Linked DNA regions of Macaca fascicularis. The protein of the gene in region 3 purifies or fractionates together with the protein of the main gene of each other region. This does not show direct contact. Links are inferred from orthologs where the notes say so. Each region holds a gene or a part of one and is shown on either strand. Other genes may lie near its edges.

What was found.
Region 1: the proteins of POLR2C (region 3) and MED9 purify together in Homo sapiens (affinity purification with mass spectrometry; 3 studies listed by BioGRID and IntAct, with this or other methods). This does not show direct contact. The link is inferred for Macaca fascicularis from reciprocal best matches to the Homo sapiens genes POLR2C and MED9.
Region 2: the proteins of POLR2C (region 3) and MED26 purify together in Homo sapiens (affinity purification with mass spectrometry; 3 studies listed by BioGRID and IntAct, with this or other methods). This does not show direct contact. The link is inferred for Macaca fascicularis from reciprocal best matches to the Homo sapiens genes POLR2C and MED26.

What each region holds. Positions count from the first base shown.
Region 1 is NC_088390.1:17,575,729-17,582,677, reverse strand, and holds the start of MED9 (mediator of RNA polymerase II transcription subunit 9), read right to left. Parts: upstream 3,988-6,949; 5' UTR 3,954-3,987; coding exon 3,730-3,953; intron 1-3,729.
Region 2 is NC_088393.1:16,960,530-16,967,482, forward strand, and holds the start of MED26 (mediator of RNA polymerase II transcription subunit 26), read right to left. Parts: upstream 4,406-6,953; 5' UTR 4,149-4,405; coding exon 4,077-4,148; intron 1-4,076. UniProt on the Homo sapiens protein: Component of the Mediator complex, a coactivator involved in the regulated transcription of nearly all RNA polymerase II-dependent genes.
Region 3 is NC_088394.1:53,564,321-53,571,166, reverse strand, and holds part of POLR2C (DNA-directed RNA polymerase II subunit RPB3), read right to left. Parts: intron 5,005-6,846; coding exon 4,936-5,004; intron 4,790-4,935; coding exon 4,737-4,789; intron 1,584-4,736; coding exon 1,455-1,583; intron 1,032-1,454; coding exon 980-1,031; intron 780-979; coding exon 611-779; intron 461-610; coding exon 386-460; intron 1-385. UniProt on the Homo sapiens protein: Core component of RNA polymerase II (Pol II), a DNA-dependent RNA polymerase which synthesizes mRNA precursors and many functional non-coding RNAs using the four ribonucleoside triphosphates as substrates.

The DNA.
Region 1 (6,949 bases), on a different chromosome or scaffold from region 3:
CTTATATGTTTTTCCTATACCACCCTTCCTCCTGCCTCCCTTTCCTAATTGAAGACTCATGTTGGCATCAATCTCACCAAGCCTTCTGTCTCCCCCAGGCTTCACGTGGTCTCCTCTCCCTTCCTCCTCTGCCCTTATTCCTCCCTCATTAGCCTATAAACTCAAAAGACACGCCTATACTGAAGGTTTTCAGGTTGGATCCTAGCCTCTTCTCATATTTACAGCTGCAGAACCACTCCATTCCTTTGCAGCTACTGTTCCCTCCAAGTGGCTTTTTCTGCTCTTCTGTCTTGTCTTTCTCTTTTTTCCTCTCTTTCTCTCTTTCTTTCTTCTTTGAGACAGAGTCTATGTCACCCAGGCTGAAATGTAGCAGTGTGATCATGGCTCACTGTAGCCTCAGCTCCCTGGGTTCAAGCTATCCTCCCATCTCAGCGTCCCCAAGTGCTGGGCTTGCAGACAGACATGAGGCACCGCACCTGACCCGTGTCTTTCTTACCAGGGGGTTTCTTCCTATGCTTAGTGGCCTTGGCCATCCACTCATATGTTTAAGAATAAAACATTAAAAGGCTTAGTGGAAGCTCTGCAAATGAGTGATGCTTGTTCATTTTCTCAGAATTAATTGACTAGGCTTTTTTTTTTTTTTCCAATGTCTTTTCTCTTAATTGGTCACACACGATAGAGAGGGCACTTCCACTCTCTTTGGCTGCCAATCTAGAAGCCAGGTGGGGGAAGGCTCGAGTGGGGTCTCTCTTCAGACTGCGAACTTTCTCTTAATCCCTCTTTTCAGTTATGATTCCCCCTACCTACCCCTGCAGTGTGCCTGTTGTCCCCCAGTCCAGGTACTCTCTGGCTTATTTGTTCCTAAGAATAAATCTTGGGAGAGTAACCTTTTAACCACCCACCAATTTAGAAGAAGGGTAGTCACCTGGCCGCTTGGAAGGGATGGGAGGTGGGACAGGACTGCTTCTTAAACAGACTTCAAGTAATCATCCTGTTCTTAGACCCACCTTCACCCCTATTTCCAGGGGGTCCTTGCACTAGAGTTCCTGAGATCTGGGGGTAGGCCATGTTTAACAAGCCAGCTGCTTAGGAGTTGGTAGATGAATTAGCACTGGTCATTCACTTTGTAGCGATCATCTCCTGTCCTATTCTTTTCGGTTTTATGCTTTTTATTTTTGAGATAGGGTCTCGTTCTGTCACCCTTGCTAAAGTACAGTGGCATGATCTGGGTTCAAGTGATCCTCCCACTTCAGCCTTCCAAGTAGCCAGGACTGCAGGCACACACCACGCCTGGCTAATTTTTTTTTTTTTGTATTTTTTGTAGGGATGGGGTTTTGCCATGTTGCCCAGGCTGGTCTTGAACTCCCAGGCTCAAGCGACCAGCTCACCTCAGCCTCCTAAAGTGTTGGGATTACAGGCATGAGCCACTGCGTCTGAAGGTTTTATGTATTTTTTTTTTAAGTCCCTTCTGTGTCCCTTTAGACGAAACAGAGACAAGCACATGTGATCAGCCCACTAGGTTTCACAGGTACGCTCTTGAGTACATCTCCCAACAATCCTATGACATAAGCATTCCCATTTCATAAGAGAAAAACAGGCTCAGAGAAGCTAAGCTACTTGCCCAGGTCACCCAGTCAGCACATTATAGAGCTATTACATAATCTAAACCTATCTTTTGAGGTCCACTATGGACATATTAGAGATAAGAAGATTATGGCCTAGAAAGGTTAGACATTTATATCAATATTAGAAGGCATGAAAATGTCAGTATACAGATTTGAACTCAGGACTGTCTAACTTCAAAGCCTCTTCTCTGTAGTATAACTTACTACTACATCTTTAAGGCCAGCCCAATCCAGCTGCTTTACCAGGGCTCAAGAATATACTCTTGGGGGGTTCAAGAGCTGTCTTTGTGAATGTGTACATTTTGTGTTTTCCTTTTTCCACATTTTTCTTAAAACCAGTAAACTGGGGTTAATCTGACTAAACCCTTTATAATCCGGCACTGCCCTGGGATTATAGGGGCTCCATATGTATTTCTGTCTGTGATCATTATCACAGGCTCACAAAAACTGAACAGGCTGTCTTATCCCAGAAACATTTTTTTAAATTTATTTATTTATTTATTTTTGAGACAGAGTCTTGCTCTTGTTGCCCAGGCTGGAGTGCAATGGCATGATCTCGGCTCAATACAACCTCCACCTCCCAGGTTCAAGTGATTCTCCCGCCTCAGCCTCCCGATTAGCTGGGATTACAGGCACCCACCACCACACCTGGCTAATTTTTGTTTTTAGTAAGAGACAGGGTTTCACCATGTTGGCCAGGCTGGTCTCAAACTCCTGACCTCGTGATCCGCCTGCCTTGGCCTCCCAAAGTGCTTGGATTACAGGCATGAGACACCACGCCCGGCCCTTATAAACAGTAAACACCAAGTGAAGCCAAATGAAGCCAGGGTCTAATGTGAGAACAAAGCCTTTGTAGTTATTTGAAAAGTGGCAGAAGAGCATCAGGTCATCCCACAGCAAGTGAATCTAGTTTGCTTAAACTCAAAAGTGGGTGGGCCACTAACGGTCAAGACCTTCACGTTGTAACAATTCCGTTTCAGTAAAACAGTGAAGAGCACATTCATGTTCACCTGAATGTTACTGGATTCGTAATTTTCTTTTAATTTACTTTGTGGTCTTTAATGGCTGAATAAGAGTTATAAGCCTAAGGGTTTACACCTACTATCACGTGGATATAGAGTGAAGTAACATAATGAAAATAATTTACAGCCTAGGCAACACGACTAAATTCCATCTCTACAAAAAGTACAAAAATTCGCTGGGTGCTGTGGCTCATGCCTGTGGTTCCGGTTACTTGGGAGGCTGAGGTGGGAGGATGGCTTGAGGCCTGGAGGTTGAGGCTGCAGTGAGACGAGATCACGCCAATGTACTCCAGTCCGGGTGACAGAGCGAGACCCTGTCTCAAAAAAAATAATAATTTAGGCAAACACGGGGATCAGTATAATAATTTAGGCAAACACGGGGATCAGTAAGACTTTCGTGCTTTTGTTTTTGGTTTTTCCTTTACAGAGTCACTTTGAAAACTCAGGCTACCCTAAAGGCTGGCCAAAAGGATGACAATTATCTCCTTTGGTACTGTTAGAACAAAGTCAGTACAGGTGGGTCTAATCATCTCAGGCAACTTCTGTGTTTTTGCTTAGTCTAATATTTCCCATCGCCACCGCTCCCCTCTCAATCTTTTTGAATTATGGGTTATTCCCAATCATGTCTTTTTTTTCCTTCTATGCCCCTTTTACTGTGTCCATCCCATAGCACTTGGCAGTGTCCCACACAGGGAAGATGATGCTTATCTGTTGAGTCTGTTGAAATAAGGAACTAAAGTGAGTATTACTAACATTAAAGGTGAGAAAACTGAGGCTTAAAGAGATTTAATTTGCTCAAGATCGATGGGATGCACGTTTGAGCCGCTGGACAAGAGTCTGTATGTAGTCTCTAAGCTGGCTTCATTCTTAAGGATATCGCACCTCTCGGGGCTCAAATCGTTTGCTTAACTCATGGAATGTCTCTGTGGTCTTGGGAAAGGCCTCTTCCCGCTCTGGGTCTGAGTTTCCCCATCTGCGAAACGGGGGCGTGCCCTAGAGCGCCAAGGCCTCTTGAAGCTCTGAAACGGCTGAGACGAGAAGCTGGAGGGAGTATGGGGCCTGGTCCTCTCCTAGGTTCTTACCATTTGATGATGCTGTGAACCAAAGGTAAAAAGGAGTAGTTCTCTTCCTCCCTCGCGCGGGCAGGTGACTGAGGCCGTGGCGCCGGCGACTGCTGCGGCTGAGGCGCAGGGACAGGCGGCGGCTGAGGGGGCGGCAGCGGCTTGGTGTCAGGCAGCGGCTGGTCGGACGTTGGCGGCAATGCATCCTCCGCCTGTCGCCCGGCTGCCACCCCAGCAGAGGCCATGGCTCCGGGGTTAGGTTAACCCAGAGGTCGGGTCGCCGACAGCGTCGCGAACTCTATACGTCACCACCGCGCGCCCTGCAGGGGCGCAGCGTGGAGGAAGGCTCTGAGCATGCGCACTGGGCACTCGGCCGGCAACGGGGCGGAGGCGGGGTGGGGAGACTGTTGCTAGGCGACGGGCCGTGGGTGGGTCTGGGGTGCCTGGTTTTGGGTTGAGTCAAGACCCAAAATTATTTAAATATTATTAAATAGTGAGAAATAGGGGATTTATTTCAGAAATAACAATTTTTTTTTTTGAGACGGAGTTTCGCTCTTGTTGCCCAGGCTGGAGTGCAGTGGCGTGATCTCGGCTCAAAGCAACCTCCGCCTCCCGGGTTCAAGTGATTCTCCTCCCTCAGCCTCCCAAGTAGCTGGGATTACAGGCATACACCACCACGCCCGGCTAATTTTGTATTATTAGTAGAGACGGGGTTTCTTCATGTTGATCAAGCTGGTTTCGAACGCCCCACCTCAGGTGATCCGCCCTCCTCGGCCTCCCAAAGTGCTGAGATTACAGGCGCAAGCCACCGCACCTGGCCATAAATAACAATCTTCTTATTCCTATTCACACGATGAAGAGGGCCCCAAAGCCACAAACACAGGAAGCCTTGAGGTCAGTAAGGCGCAGCCTGGCCCAGTGCACCCAAGTCTGGAGAGGAACCACTGGACCTGCAGGAGGCGTAGACAGCACTTACCTGCTGGCTGAGGCACCAAACCCGGCCCGGCCCACAGTGCGAGACATCGAGACCTCCTGCTTAGCCCTAAGGACGCAGAGGCAAAGGGATTGCGGTCCCTTCAGTGCTGCATGGCTGCTGAGAGTCTGATAATTCAACTCAACACACTTTTAGTATGCACCTGCTGGATGGCCAGGTGTAATGTGTGGTTGCAGGGAGGCTGTCCTTGCTTTCAATACAAGGTAGAGGGGATTCGTGCCAGGAATAAATATCATATCCTGGAAGAACGACAAAGTCAGGTACGCTCCATACCTTCGGGCCAGTTCCTCAAACCCCTAGGTCCCAGTTTCCTCACCCCTAAAATCATATTTAGTTCAGAGTCATGGCAGAGCCTAAACTGCATTCTAACTTCACATTCGTGGCTGACCCCAAAAGGTCTTGTTGGCATGAGGACTCCCTAGGATCATAGGCCAAAGATGGGTTTATGGTTATGCTTCTCAAAACAAGTTTGCTATGAGGGCTAAGTAGCAATTTTCTGCGCAATGGGGACAGCCACCCTAAGCTTAGCTAGTTAGAAGACATGAGTGGGGAAAGCTGTCAACTGGCGAGCCCATTCTGCTGTAATCCACCATCATGGGCAGTGCAGAGAGGCGAGGAGGTCCACATCCACATAGTACTATGAACAGGAGCCTTAAGAGCAAGGTGGCCAGGGAAAGGATCACTGCTGATATTTTCAGGCACATTGGGAGGGCTGTGTGGAGGCAGATCCTTGCCCAGTAGGACCATAGACAGAAGTGCTGTTGGAGGGTCCGCTGTACAGGTAAAGGGCCTCAGCACAGCTCTCTGCAGCAAGAGCTGCCCACGATGCCCCAGAGAGAGAGCAAAGGGAGGCAGTGGGTTGCAGGGTTTTCTTCCTTCTAACCATGAACCTCTCCAACTAAGGGAAAGTCCAGGAGTTCTGGTAGAGCATGGAGGAGAAAAAGGCCTGTTAGAATAGGGCCAGATGTGCTTGAAGAGACTGTATACCCTTAGAGTCATCTGGGGAAAGATAATATAGTAATAGTAATAATAATAATAATAGTAATTACCACAACTACCATGGAATAAAAGTAGATACAGGGAACAGAGTTACAGTCACTGTCTCAATCCACAAAAAGAGGTCTAGAACATGGATGTCAGGATCCCCATTTTCTAGACAAGAAAACTAAGACTTACAATGGTTAAGATCCCAGCCTAAGGGTCCACGCTGCTTGCTGACTCCAAGCCTATGATCTTAACCAACGCTAAAGAGACTTCGGGTCCCTACCAGTTCTGTAACTTTATGATTCAAAATGTTAAAGTGGGTTTGAATTCAGAATTCAAAAACCAATCCAATATTCATCAATAATATCCCCCATGGCAATCACACGTCATCGTTGGCCTCCCAGCATGTTTTATAACTTAATTATGAGCCACAACTATATCGTTGTCAGGAAAATGAGGATGACTCTTAAAAGAAAAACACTTGAGGTATAAATAGATATGGCTAAAGAAAATAAATTGAAAACCTAGGAAGCATGAACCAGTATGGTGCATTGACAGTTTGCCCTAAAAATAGTTAATATAATTAGTGGCAAAGAGTAAAGCTGACTTCATAATGTTGCAAGCGGATATCAGAAAAATACTGCCTGTGCTGGTTTCATTAAAGCTGAAATTGCTGCAACAAATGTGTGTCTGTTTATAACCTGCTCTGTTAAAAGTCAGGAAAGACAGACACTCCATTGATATGTAAGGAGAATGTATTGTAGTGAAGGAAACTTCGCCCCACCACAAGGTAAGCTCTAAGGTCATTGCTTTCTTAGGTGGATTTATGCCGTGTCTCACGGGGCCTTGTCCAGTTAGTGGTTACAAGGTCAGGCTTTGGAGCCAGCAGCCTGACTTCAGCCTCAACTCAGCCTCCTTGGAGCTTCATGACTGGACAATTGCTTAACCTCACTTCATGCAGCCATGCCATCTCACAAGACTGAATGGGTCATTACTTGTAAAGCACTTAGAGTAAGTATCTGTGCACAGTAAATAGTAATTCTTCTTACTATTCAGTTTTAGGGCTTCTTACTTCGCCAACTAACAAAACCCAGACAGACTGCAGCTAAGAGGAATGATCCACATCGCTGCACTTTGATAAAAATGTAAGCCAAACACGCAAGCCACAGAGGCTGTGTTCAGTTTTCTAGCAGCCATATTGAAAAATAAGACAACAGGTCAGGTGTGGTGGCTTATGTCTGTAATCTCAGCACTTTGGGATGC
Region 2 (6,953 bases), on a different chromosome or scaffold from region 3:
TAAGTCCCTAACTTTGGTTCCACCACCTCCCATTAAGTCAGTAAGAAACAAAAGCATTTTGTCCTCTGCTTGCCCCAGGAGACACCACTGAGCAGCACCTACTACCTGATGCTGCTGGCTTCTGCACCTGCGAAAGGGGAGACTGGCTCTCCCACTCACAAGGCTGTTGGGAGGAAGCAGAACTCTCTGACGGGTGCCACACAAACTAACAAAGCATACACCTTGGTTTAGAATTTTGTTAGCTGAGAAACTTCAAACAATGTACCTTGCAAAGATATATTAAAAACAAAACAAAACAAAACAAAAAACCCTTCTAGAACAATTGACATTAGACTCTGCTGTCCCTTCCAGGATCTGAACTTAGATCTGGAAGGAGGTTTATGGGGTGCATACACCCGTTCCCAATCCCACCCTGTGGACAAGAAATCTGCAGGAAAGTCAAGGTAAGCAACATCCAACCTTCCAATTCTTAGGTGGGAAAATTATCTTTCTTGCTGGGTCTCTCTGCAGCGTGCCTTGGTCACCTCCCCCTTGGTCTCTGTTGCCTGAAGAGCTGTAAGAAAGCAAGCAGCTCCCAAGGACGTTTCCCACTCAGAGCCTGACAGCTGGAGGCACTGACACAAGCAGCCAGGGCTAGTTCAAGTCCCTCTTTGCTGCAGGACCTTCTCAGGCCTCTCCCTGCTCTGAACACAGGACATTCACCTGCAGTTAGCAAGCCCTGCCCTGTGCTGTTATTTTATTTGTCATGAGGATGCAGTACACCGTCTACTATCTGTTGGACCTTTCCTCTAAAAGCTAAGTTTGTTAATCATCACTTAACATCCATATTCCTCACAGTTCTACTGAGTAGCGTCTCAAGTCACCTGTGACTCCTTCCCTCTCCAAAGTTCTGCATTAGAATATTCCACGACTGTACTTTTGGGCATAAAGCAGTTACAAAGGCTTCCTAGTAAAATGGGGTTCACATGTAGCTCCTCAGGCACAGGTCCAAGATGGATGCTAGGGTTCAGTCAGTTTAAGCAGCAGATAGAAAGTGTGCCAAATGCTTCTGCTCTAGAGGGAGAAGACAAGACATGAAACATCCCAAGAAGCTTGTGTGCCGCACAGGAAGATAAAGCTCGTACCTCCACAAAACAAAGAGTGTCCCAGGCAGATGGGAACCGAATCACCTGCTGAGGAGACTGCTCACTACGACTGCTGTGCGAGAGTAAGACACAGTCCTTCACTTTACCCACAATGCAGCGAGAGTAAGCTGGAACAATCATGCACACACTGCGCTTCGGAGAGATTTTCAACACCCTGGGCTGAAAGGGTGCACAACGAAAAGAAAAGCTCCGACTGCTCTGAAAAACCGTTAGTAGCCTTTTGAAAAGGAGAGTAGAGGATTTACTTTATTACTGAATTGGCAGAAATTATTAACTCTGAGCCTGCTGCTATAGGAATTCAAATGCATACTCCAGGGGCTAAAAGAGCACAGAAACAACTTTCCTCGTAAGAATTTCTTTGTCAAGGAGATGGTTGGTAAACACGACTTCGTCACTTCCCTAACTTTCCAGATACTTTTGGATATTAGGTCAGTTCCTGACACTGATTTTGCAAGCAATAGCTAAGTTTGTTAACCATAATTGCATGCCCATAAAGGTAAGCATTACATGACACAATTCTCTGCCGCTTCTCTCAGAAGAGGTTTAATTTTAGTGTTGGCTCTTCAACACTGTCCCCGTTTTTTTTTTTTTTTTCCACGAGCATCTTAAATATGTGTCAACTAAATATCCAGTAGTGGAATTCATCATTGGGCAGGGCAGAGAGGAGAGACCGGCACACCGGCAGCACCTGTGCTGGAGCCACCTGCTCTCACCTGAGCCCACATTGATCCGAGAGAAACTGCAGACACACTGACATGCCCAGCTCTCACCACCACCTCCGCCAGCAAACCCCGTCCACTGCAGCTCTGTTTCTGCATGGTGTTTGCTCAAAGCGAACGGTCCTGTCAAACGGCCCATAACAGCGCTCAGAGGATCAATCACAAAGGAGGCACTTTCCTCATTGCTCATAATCAAGAAGATAATTTCCCAAATCCATCCACCCCATGTTAGTAGGACTCTGCCCAAGATCATCACCAAAGTCCTTGAAAATAAGCGATATGAAATGCAAATTCCATGTCAGGTAACATAACCAGGGACCTATATAACATTTCTGCATGAGCTGAGACACACAAAACTAAGATTTGTTCCGTCCTCTTTTCTTCTGCCTCAAGGAACCCTTTTGATTAGAGCCTTACACAATACTGGAAACTGTGAGGTCACTGGAGTGACCTAATCTACAACACTGTGATCGCCTGTCAAAGTGCCGCCTGATCCCAAAGCTCTCTGAGGTGGCATTAAGGATCAGTGCTAATATCTCAGCAACCTCTCAGACTCTCCAGAAGGAAAGCGAGTGCGTGAAATTCAAAAAATTACCTTCTGGCTCCACAAAAGATGTACAAGTCACCAAGGCTATTTTTTTCATGTCACTAGTTTTATCCTCTAATATTTCAATCTTAAAATTGCAGTGGCACCAGTTACTGCAAAAAGGACATTCGAGAAGGTTTTATATAGCTTGTGCCCACTCCACCCCCAAAGTCATAACAAAAATGTATAATATAACATTTGTTAAAGACAATTACCATCAAGTCAATGTTAATGGGACCTGAATACCAGGGATAAGAGAAGTACTTATATCACAGCAAAAACAGGGCCTTAGAAAAAAACTCATAACCCTTCAATCTTACCAAAAATTGTATAAGTCAACGTGAATTATTCCAAAAACATCATCAGAGTTAAGCATACTGCTAAGAGTAATCAGCCAAGCTCATGTAAAACTACAAGTAAAAACCCCTACGGTGAGAGAAACCTGAGTTACCTGGCCAAGCCAAAGATGATTTTTTTCTTCCATTCACAGCATATTAAAAAGTGATCTCAATGGCCACTTCCTGGGAAGCAGGGCCTCACTTCATACCTGGATGCTACTGCATCTTCCCACCGCCCTGCTCCTGCCGCGGGAAGTATGACCCCTACTGCCAAGAAACTCTTGGAGAAAATATGAGAATAGATCAGTCTTCCCACCCCCACCCCACCCCCGCAACAACACACATACACACACACAGATACACAGCCACACATACGGAGGGGGAAGGGGCGGTCCCTCCGCCAACAGTAGCCTCAGCAAAGGGGCACCCGAGGAAGCGACACCCTGGAGTTAACCCTGACAGTCTGGGTCAATAGCCACCAGGCTGAGACCCCCAGGTGAGGGAAAGAGCCTACTGAAACAGGGCTCTTGGGTAAACGGGAGAGAAAAGTCCTCTTTAATTCACTACCCAAAAAAATGGAGCTCTGGCTTGGTCAGAGACGCAATGGGTACTGAGGCCCAGAAAGGCAACAGGAAGGATCCCACCCTCCCCGAAATCATCTGTCGCTGGCAGCGACCCCAAGAGGGTTTTGGCGAAGGCGTGTCCAGTCACAGAAGGGAGACAGACTCTCCACGTACCCTGGGTACCCGGCCAGGGGCAAAACACACTGGGGGTTCTCTCCGAAGCCAGGAAGGTGCTGCCAGCCGGGAGGAGGGGGAAGGACTTCTCTCATAACCCAGAAGGCTAAGACATGGGAGACACAGGCTCCCCGAGTCATACCCCGGACACCAGTTGCTTCACAGCCCTTCTCCCTCCCCTCCCCCGCTCCGGGAGGGCTTCCCGGGGGTCTCAGGTCCCGGAGGGAGGGCGATGCAGGGCAGCTTCGTCCAGAGCAGTGAGGGTCATAGAGCTGGAGCAGAAAGGGGAGATAAACTCTACCCTTAGCCCCCCGTCTGCTTCCTCCGCCCAGGCCGCACGGAAGCCTCGGCCTCACGTACCAAGCGCTGCCGGGCTGCCCGACCTGCCCCCGGCCCGGGCCCGAGGAGTGAGAGGCAGAGATGGCAGCGGCCCTCGAGGGGAGGTGGGCGCCAGACGGGTCCCCCGAAGCCCGGTGGGCGAGGGGGACAGGAGAGGGGGAGGGTCCCAGGCCCATGCGGCCTCCGTCCCAGCTCGCGCGGCGGGTACTTACGTTGCTCTGGGGGTCGATGGCCTGCAGCAGCCGGTCCCTGATCTGCTGCGGAGACGCCGGAGCCGCTGTCATTGCCTGGGCGAGGCGGGGGTTGCGGCCGGGCCAGCGGGCGGGCGGGCTGAGGCGGGGGACGGGGGTCACTCACTCGCCGGCCTCCGGGAGCCGGAGCCGCATGTTCCCCGCGGCGCCGGAGGGTTAGGTGCGCGCGGGGTGGCGGAGAGGGGAGCCGGGGCCGGGTCTCGGTCCCGGGCCGCCGCCGCCACCGGAGGAGGAGGAGCCGCCGGAGCCGCCGCCGCTTGCTGCCGCCGCCTCGAGAACCAAACTCCAGTGAGCTGCCCCCGCGCGGAGTACTCTGGGTAGTCCGCGCCGCACGCAGCGTCGGCGCCACGCTGAGGAGGTTGGGAGATGGGACGGGCGGAGACGCCAGGCATGGGCGGGGCTGCCCGTGCGCCCCGCCCCGCGCCTCCGCGCACGCGCGCGCAGGCGCACTCACCCGCCTGTGCCGCCCCGCCCCGCCGCCCGGCCTAGGCAGCCGTTGGGAGGAGGTTGGGCGGGGCAACGGTCGCTGCCTGGAGACCCCGCCCCCGCCCGGGTCGCGGGGCGGGGCTTTCTGACGGAAGCGCGCGCGCAAAGAGTCCTTGAACCCGGACGCTCGCGGCGGCTACCTCAGGGCAGGGAGGGCGGCGGGAAAATCCTTCCTCTAGGAGAGCCTTCCCGGCGCGTGACTGGGGGATGAGAGTCGCAGGCTGAGCAGCTGCCGAAGTTTTTGTGAGGGCGAGGGAAGCAGACGTCCACGTTGTGATTCTGCGCACGGAAGGGTCATCGGAGGAGTCCAGGGGTGTCGCCGCGGCCGCCCCCGCCCCTTAGAGAGTGTGGGAATGGGTGTGGTGACGGGCGGGGGTCTGCATCGCCACGCGCGACCCCGATCGCGAAAACGTGAGGCGGCAAAGAAGCCGCCCCCCGTAGCTGGGAACGCTGGAAAGCCGGAGGTTGCAAATCTGCGTCTACGCCGCGGCTTCTCCACCTCGGCGCCACTGGCATTTGGGCGATATTGCTCTGTCGTTGGGGCGGGTCCCGCGATCTGTCGAAAGTTGAGCGGCATTTCTGGCCTCAGAAGCGCCCCCTCCCCCAGTCTGCAGTCATTGCCGCCATCCCTTGTTGGGGCACAGTCCCCCCGCCCCGCTACCGGCAGAAAACCCCGTGATTGAAAGACCCTTCTACCCGCCTCTGCCTGGAGGTGCTGTAAAACTGAGATGCTCATTCTCTTAACCAAACACGTCACAGGAGGAAACGGAGGCCCAAGGTCACCTAGACTTCGGGGTTAAGCCCAGAACCGCAGGTGTCAAGTTTAAGGGCGCCCCTCCTCCCTCCACCCTACTTATTGCCTTCTGTAATTGCTCCCCTCTCTCTGGGAACTCTGTTGGAAATGCTGTTGTGAGACGGGGTGGAAAGGCAAGCTCGGCGGCCTCGGGAGAAATCTTTTTTTTCCCCACTGTTACAGGAAGACCTAGATTTAAAACAGGAGGAAGACGGCTGATGAGAACCACATGTGTGCCTTGGCGCTGCCTGGCACCTGTTAGTCTTGTATTTGTTGTGCTTCTGGGAAATGTTTTCATTTGCAAAAACGGCTGCTTCTGCACGTGGCTATAGTTGCGTGCTTCTGCACATGTGAAAAGTTTTACATCCACTTGGAGGAGAAAAGAAACACGGGCAAAACACTTGTCATTTACTGCTCCCAACCTCACCCCTCCCAGAATGCGGAGCATTGTGTATATGGTGTACATGGTCCAAGTTGGAAACTGGCCCATTCGGAGATAATTCTTTATCTCATTTCTGATAAGCAAAATAAACAAAGCCTTCCTCAGGCATATTCTGGTCTTGCCTTTCAATTTCTAACTCGGATGTACAGTATCTTTTTTTTTTTTTTTTTTTTAAATAAAGGATTACATAGGAGACAATTTATTTTGCATGGGTCAAGTTATTTTAAGAAACATTTGGGCGGGAGTGGTGGCTCAAGCCTGTAATCCCTGCACTTCAGCAGGCTGACGCGGGTGGATCACTTGAGCTCAGGAGTTCGAGACTAGCCTGGCCAACATGGTGAAACCCCATCTCTACAAAAAATACAAAAATTAGCTGGGCGTGGTGGCGCGCACCTGTAATCTTGGCTACTAGAGGGGGCTGAGGCAGGAGAATTGCTTGAACCCGGGAGGCAGAGGTTGCAGTGAGCCAAGATTGCACCACTGCACTCCGGGCTGGGCAACAGACTCTGTCTCAAATGAACAAAAACAAACAAAATGTGGGGCCAGCCATGGTGGCTTATGCCTGGTAGCTCATGCCTGTAATCCCAGCACTTTGGGAGGCCGAGGTGGGCAGATCACTTGCAGTCAGGAGTTCAAGACCTGCGTGGCCAGAATGGTGAAACCCCTTCTCTACCAAAAAATCAAAAATTAGCCGGGCATGGTGGCACCTGTAATCCCAGCTACTTGGAAGGCTGAGGCAAAAGAATTGTTTGAACCCAGGAGGCAGAGGCTTCAGTGAGCTGAGATCATGCCGCTGTACTCCAACCTGGGTGACAGAGCAAGACTGTCTTGAAAAATAAACATTGGAAAGTACTCAACTTACCTGTTTTTTAAAAACTAAGAAGCATTGACATGACTGAGTTCCTCAAGGGCACTGGCTCTTTTTGGTATCCCCAGTAGACAGAAAAATAATATTTGTGGAGTAAGTCAATGAAAGTTTCATCAAATACACGGTAGTGTTACACACACCCCCAGACACATGAATGCATTTCAGTTTCTACAGATCTGGTACACCATGGGTCTCAACAGCTATTTCCAGAATGAATGAAATACTTCATAAAATATAATACTATATACA
Region 3 (6,846 bases):
TCTGTATGTACGCATGCCCCACTGAGGAGAGAGTGGAAAACCAAGTGAGCAGTGACCAGTGACAGCTCTTTCACAGTCACCCCTGTGGAACTTGGGTCCCAATCTCTGCCCCTAGCATTGACCTGAAGGATCTCTTCTTTGGGGGCTGAAAATCAGAATAGGAACAACCTGGATAACTGGAGGTTCCTCTTTGTCACAGTGACCAAAAGGGGGCTGACAGCCTGCCCCGGGATGTGCACATACCACAGGTCTGGTTTAGCAGTCAGCAGCCCTCCTCAGCTTGTGAGAACTACGAGGTCGGGAAGAGGGACGCCTAACTCATGGCCTGAACCAAAACCATCCCTTCTTACACACTTTACCTTCCCATATCCGGGCAGGCTCTTACCTTTCTGGCTTGCCGTTGGGGTCATAGGGAGCCTGCGACTCATCCTCATCCAGCTCTGAGTACTCACTCTTTGGCCTGAGGTCAAACACAGGTCAGCACAACGTTGCCACTGCTGCTTTTGAGGCACCCAAGTTCCTAGAGAGCCTGCCACCTCTCAGTCAGCAGCAGCCATTTCTATGACACACCCACCCCAAATGCCTGCCATCACTCCTAAGGGGAACATACCATTCCTCAGGCTTGGGGTACACTGTGTGCCTCAGGGCATTGTCTGGATCGTATTCAAAAGCCACCCCTGCAGTAGGGTTCCACTTGGCATGCTCCTTGCCAAAGCCCTTTTTGGCATAGGCTCGAAGTCTCAGCTCCTGGCCCTTTCTCAACTTGACGATGAGGATGTCTGCAGGGAGAGGCACAAGTCAGTCAAGGTCCAGGAGAGACATGGTTCTCCAAATTCTGACTTGGAGTGCCACTGCAAGACCACACACATCTGGAAAAATGGGTCTAAAGCCAATTTGCGAGGAGACCAGGCAGCACGAGAGGCTGTGTCTGGTCTCTGCTTCCCGCTGGCCCACAGAGTGACAGATCAGGAAGACTCACCATCCTGCTCCACGTAGTCATTGGGGTCATTATCTCGGTTCCGGGATGTCACCTGTAGGGAGTCCACCAGGCATTCATTAGTTGCTCACCTCCCCAGTCACCTCCTCTGGCATCCATATCCCAGCACTTCTAGACTGCAATCTGTCAATCAGGGAAGGAGCACCTGACGAGGTGGTGGCACAGATGCCCCCAGGACTCCAACCCCACTTCATGGTGTGGTGATGGCCTCAGGCAGAACAATTCCATGGCCTTTAAAAGGGTCCCTGGGTGACAGAGGGTGTGCAGCAGCAACAATGCTAACCATGCAATGATGCCCAAGAAGAATCTAGAATTAGCACTTCTAGGGATCAGATTAAGGCAGAAGGTAACAGGGAATGCCAACATTTGATAAGGATCAACCCCAGTCTAGCCCACCTGGAGCCAGCAAAAGAAGAGAAAAGATCCCAGGGAAAAGAGGCTGCTCTCCTGCACTGACCGGAATGACCCGGGGGCTGTTGGAGATGAGGTCTCGAGAGGTGACATGTCGCGTCTGGTCTTCATTGCACCGCACGTCGAGGGTGAACTCCACTGAGCACTCGGGGCAGAACTCCTCACATGTGCAGTCCTAAGGTAGGAAGAGAAGCAGGAATGAGTTTACAGGGAGATGGCAACTCCTGCCTTGGCTCCTTGTCTTGGTTCCCTGCATCTAATGCCCAGTTCCTTAAGTTTCTTCACCTGTAAAAAGGGGTTCGTCAGTCTCCAGGTTCTTGTGGGCTGTTACAATCTGGTATACCATTCTCATGGACTGCCCAAGTTTAGAGACAACTTATACATACATTGGCACCCACATTTCCTTCCCACTCCCACCAGCTGCAAGGCCACCTCTGGAGACACACTGCTAACATCTCCCTCTGGCTCTTGAACTACTCTTCCTCAGATAACCAAGGCTATGAGGCAGAGGAGGATGCTTTCACACTCTATAGTTCAGCTTCCCAAGAACTAAGAGGACCAGCTTAGGAATGTAACCATCATTTAAAATAAAACCACCAAGGAACAGAAAAAAGTACCTTTCAAGTTCTAGACTACTCACCTTTTCTAAAAAATCCTTTCTATTATGGAAAATTTCATATATAACCACCTTCCATAATTATTAACATTTTGCCATTCTTAAAACAACTGACTCATTCCCAAGTTAGGGACTATTAATTGCAGTTCCACTTCAGGCAAGAAGACAGTTACTAGGATGCAATCAAGCAAGCTGTTCTCTCCCTCACACCAGTGAGGAAAACCCAACATTCTTTTGATGTTTGCATGATAAGGAAGAAGCAGCAGCTAGAGGACCCACCTGGGTCCTCTACAGTCACACACAGGTGAGGTATGAAGGTAACCCAGAACCTTGAGACAGAATCACTTTTAGAAATATGAAATGGGGCTGGGCACAGTGGCTCACACCTGTAATCTCAGCACTTTGGGAGGCTGAGGTGGGAGGATCGCTTGAGTCCAAGAGTTCGAGACTAGCCTGGACAATATGGCAAGACCCTGTCTCTACAAAAAATACAAGAAAATTGTATTTTTTGGGTGTGGTGGTGCACAGCACCTGTAGTTCCAGCTACTTGGGAGGCTGAAGCAGGAGAATCATTTGAGCCCAGAGGCTGAGGTCACAGTGAGCCGAGATCATGCCACTGCACTACAGCCTGGGTGAGAGAGTGAGACCTGTCTGAAAAAACAGAAAAAGAAATATGAAATGGGAGAATCAAAATGTAATGGAAGATAAAAATATGAAAAGATATTCAACCTAAAAAAATGTACTGAGGCCGGGCGCGGTGGCTCACACCTGTAATCCCAGCACTTTGGGAGGCTGAGGCGGGTGAATCAAGAGGACAGGAGATCGAGACCATCTGGGCTAACACAGTGAAACCCCATCTCTACTAAAAATACAAAAAAATTAGCCGGGCGTGGTGGCAGGCGCCTGTAGTCCCAGCTACTCGGGAGGCTGAGGCAGGAGAATGGCGTGAACCTAGGAGGCGGAGCTTGCAGTGAGCTGAGATAGTGCCACTGCACTCCAGCCTGGGCGACAGAGTGAGACTCCATCTCAAAAAAAAAAAAAAATGTACTGAAAGGAGAGGAGTCTGTTTGAGATGAAAAGAGATTAAAGTGCTATAAGGACCAAATGAATCTTGACTGGATCAAGACTGACCCACAAACAAACAGAAAAGCAATAAAGGACATTTGGGGAAAAACTAGGAAAATTTGAATATTGATATTACAGATTAATGCTAACCTTCTTAGGCACAATAAAAGTGTGGTTATGTAGTAGGAAACTATTCTTATTAGGAAATGCATGCTGAAGTATTTAGAAGTGTTAGGATGTCTGCAACTTTCACACAGTTCAGCAAAAATAGCAACATGCATATGAAAAATAAAGCAAATGTAAAATATTAATAATTGGTAACTATAGGTGAAAAGTAAAAGGGTATTTATTATTCTAGAAAAAGCCAGAGAGAGAGACCATGCCATCTTTGTTCAATAAATACTAGAAAAAATTTTAATGAAAGGAACTGCTAGGTGATAGAGCATGCATCTCTTTATGTAAGATGTCACCAAATTGCTCTTAATTGGTTGTACAACTGTCCCCACCAATATCTCTGTTTTATTTCTTAAAAAACAAAAATCTGGAGATCTGAAACAAATAGGGCAAAATGTTAAAATGTGACAACTTAGTATTAGGTGGAAGCATGGGTATTTATTACACTAGCTCCATGCTTTTCTATGCTTGAATTTTTTTTTTTTCTTGAGACGGAGTCTTGCTCTGTCACCCAGGCTGGAGTGCAGTGGTGCGATCTCAGCTCACTGCAAGCTCTGCCTCCTGGGTTCACGCCATTCTCCTGCCTCAGCTTCCCAAGTAACTGGGACTACAGGCACGTGCCACCACACTCGGCTAATTTTTTGTATTTTTAGTAGAGATGGGGTTTCACTGTGTTAGCCAGGATGGTCTCGATCTCCTGACCTTGTGATCCACCCGCCTTGGCCTCCCACAGTGCTGGGATTACAGGCGTGAGCCACCGCATGCAGCCGAATATTTCTTTTAAAAAAAATACATATTTATAAGATATATCATAGCCATCACAAAAATGACATGGCCCTTGAGAATATTAGAAAATGGACTGATTCTGGATCACCCAAAGCCATCAAGAGGGAGTAGTCTTACGCTGCTATGTAATGCAGCCTAGTGAAAGGATGAAGGTAACCTACTACTATCCCACTCTCTCCAAACTATGAAGGCCTGTTAACATGCCATCAGGGAGCAAACACGACCAGGAGGAAGGGGGTAAGAGTGTGGCCATGTTTAAGCAGCATCACTTACGAGTGAGGGGACAGCACGAATCTGCAGACACCAGGACTAGTTCCCCAGAAGCTGCTCTTATGAGACAGCTCCCATTCCCTCTGCTCCTTGCCTACCCCAACCTTCTGTTGACTCCTGTAGCATCCTAAGGCCCCTGCTACTGGGAAGAGACGCTTTGGAAGGAAGAACCTCCACTGTAAACAGGCAATCTGGTGGAGCTGGCTAACAACATTTCCTGATGTTCTGCATGCTAATCAATCTGAAGCCCCATCAGAACCAAGGATCAAGGCCTGCCCAGGCTCTAGACAACATCTCCACATTGTTGTTCCAGACCTACAATACTACTCAAGCTGGATGCCAAATGTCAGGAAAAATCCCTTTGAGACCCAAGGCCTCCCCACCAAACCTCACATTCCACCCAATCACACAGCATACCCGGGAGTACTGCAGCTTGTCCACAATGTCATCACTAATGAGGGGAATTAATCCTGTAAAAAACAGAAAAGCACTTTAAAGAAAACCAAACAGCCAAGCCAAAATGAGAACCCAGAAGCCTCCGGGGAGTGAGGCTGGAAGGAAGCCCCCTCCTGACACTAGGCACAGTACCCTCCCTTCTAATAAAAGGAGTACTCACCAAGCCTGTGAGCGATGAACTCATCATGAAGGACTGAGGAATTGGCATCAATCTGAACCCAGTCAATGGCTACAAAATGAAAGAAGCAGACATGGAGTTTAGCCATCAAATTTACCTAGAGACTTAATGCAGTGGTTCTCAAGATTTAGGAATCACCTGACACTAAACTGCAGAGGCTGGGCTGATTCCACAGCACTAGAGTGGGGCCCAGGAACTTGCATTTTAATAAGAGCCACACACACCACACACCTCACCTCCCTGCCCAGGTGATTTAACGCAGGGGGCTCCCTGCTTCACAGAAAACACTGACTCAGAGAATATCATGGGAGTGGAAACATGTTTATTTGAGCTGAGTATTTCCATGAGAAGCACTTAAATCTGCTACCTGTGCCACCACCAAATCCAAGAACATGAACTATTTGAGCACTTCAAAGTCAGGGAAAACCTCACAGAAGTAACACAGACTTATGGGCCATACCTATATTTTAGGATATAATGACTGGACTGCCCAACTTAGCACTTTTTAAACATTCAACCAACAGACTTTTACTGAATTCCTTTAACGCACAAAGCATACTAAATATAGAACCCAATCCCTAGCAGCAATGAGCAGGTAGGAGGGTAAAGACGGTATTATCTATCACACACGCTTGACTTAAACACATATTTATTCATTCATAAACATTTGCATGGAACCAACTAAATCCAGGAATCAAATGGCATTGGAGCCCAACTGCCAAATGAGGGACACAGACACTAGGAACAGAGGTCGGAAGAGGACCTCCACATGCTAGGCCTCCACCTACTCTGTCCTGCTATGCTTCCCATTGCTTCCCCAGTCCAAGCCAACTAAGAGAACCCTGACCCAAGCTTTTCTGCCTCTTTAATCCCCCGGCCCCTTCCTCCAGCACACCCTTCCCCTCCTCACTGTACAGGTTAAGATCCTCTGTGCCTCCTAAAAACTAAGCCTTGCCTGCCCTCTATGCTACAGGTGTGGCACTCCCTCTCTTTCACCTCCTCTCTCACGAAACTCTCTTCAGACTTCCCTGAAGACACTTGTCATAGTGTGCCTTGTGTCACATTTGTGTATGTTATGTCTATACCCCAAGCTTCAGAAATTCCTTCAGGCAGGTGCTGGGATGTCTTTGTATTCCTAGCTTGGGTGCTCAACATTATTTGTAGAACTGAATTTGTGGGGAAAGAGGCATTTAGACTCAGAATGGCAGGGCTGCATCATGAAGTACAACTCCCTCACCTGACTCTTGATGAAACTGAGGTCCAGAGACATGAAGTGATTAGTCAGGGGGAGGTCCAGCACTCCAAGCTGAATTGAAGAAGTGACTGGGGGGCCGGGGGTGGTAGTGGATAAACTACAACGTTCTCTTGCCTAATCATTTGGCTTGCTTATTTCCTTAAAAGTCTAAATATTTGATGCCACATATTTCTTTTGCCTAACCCAAACTCTCTGGACCTGACTCTCGGAAATGCTTGAAGTATTTCATACAAGTATAATCAATGCATTAAGCACCTGGAGCAAAGTGGCTGGAACCAGACCAGAAATTGATGTTCCCTCCTCTAAGAGCCAACTGCACCATAGCTATGCTTCTCCTGAACTACTGATCAGTCTACCTTGCTTTAGTGTTGTCTGTGGATTCATCTCTCCCCCTGCAACCTCACTGTGGACTCCATGAGGGCAAAAACCATGTTCTCTACAGCTTTGTATTCCCAGAGCTTACCACCATGCCTGCCACTTACATGCTCCATAAATGCTGTTGAAGGAATAGATTAATAAAAAAGCCATCTACCAGCACTGAGCACTCACTAAACATAAAGCACTTCTATGGATTACCTCACTTAATCCTTAACATTACCCTGATAAAGATCATTAGTGGCTGAATGTTACAGATGAGG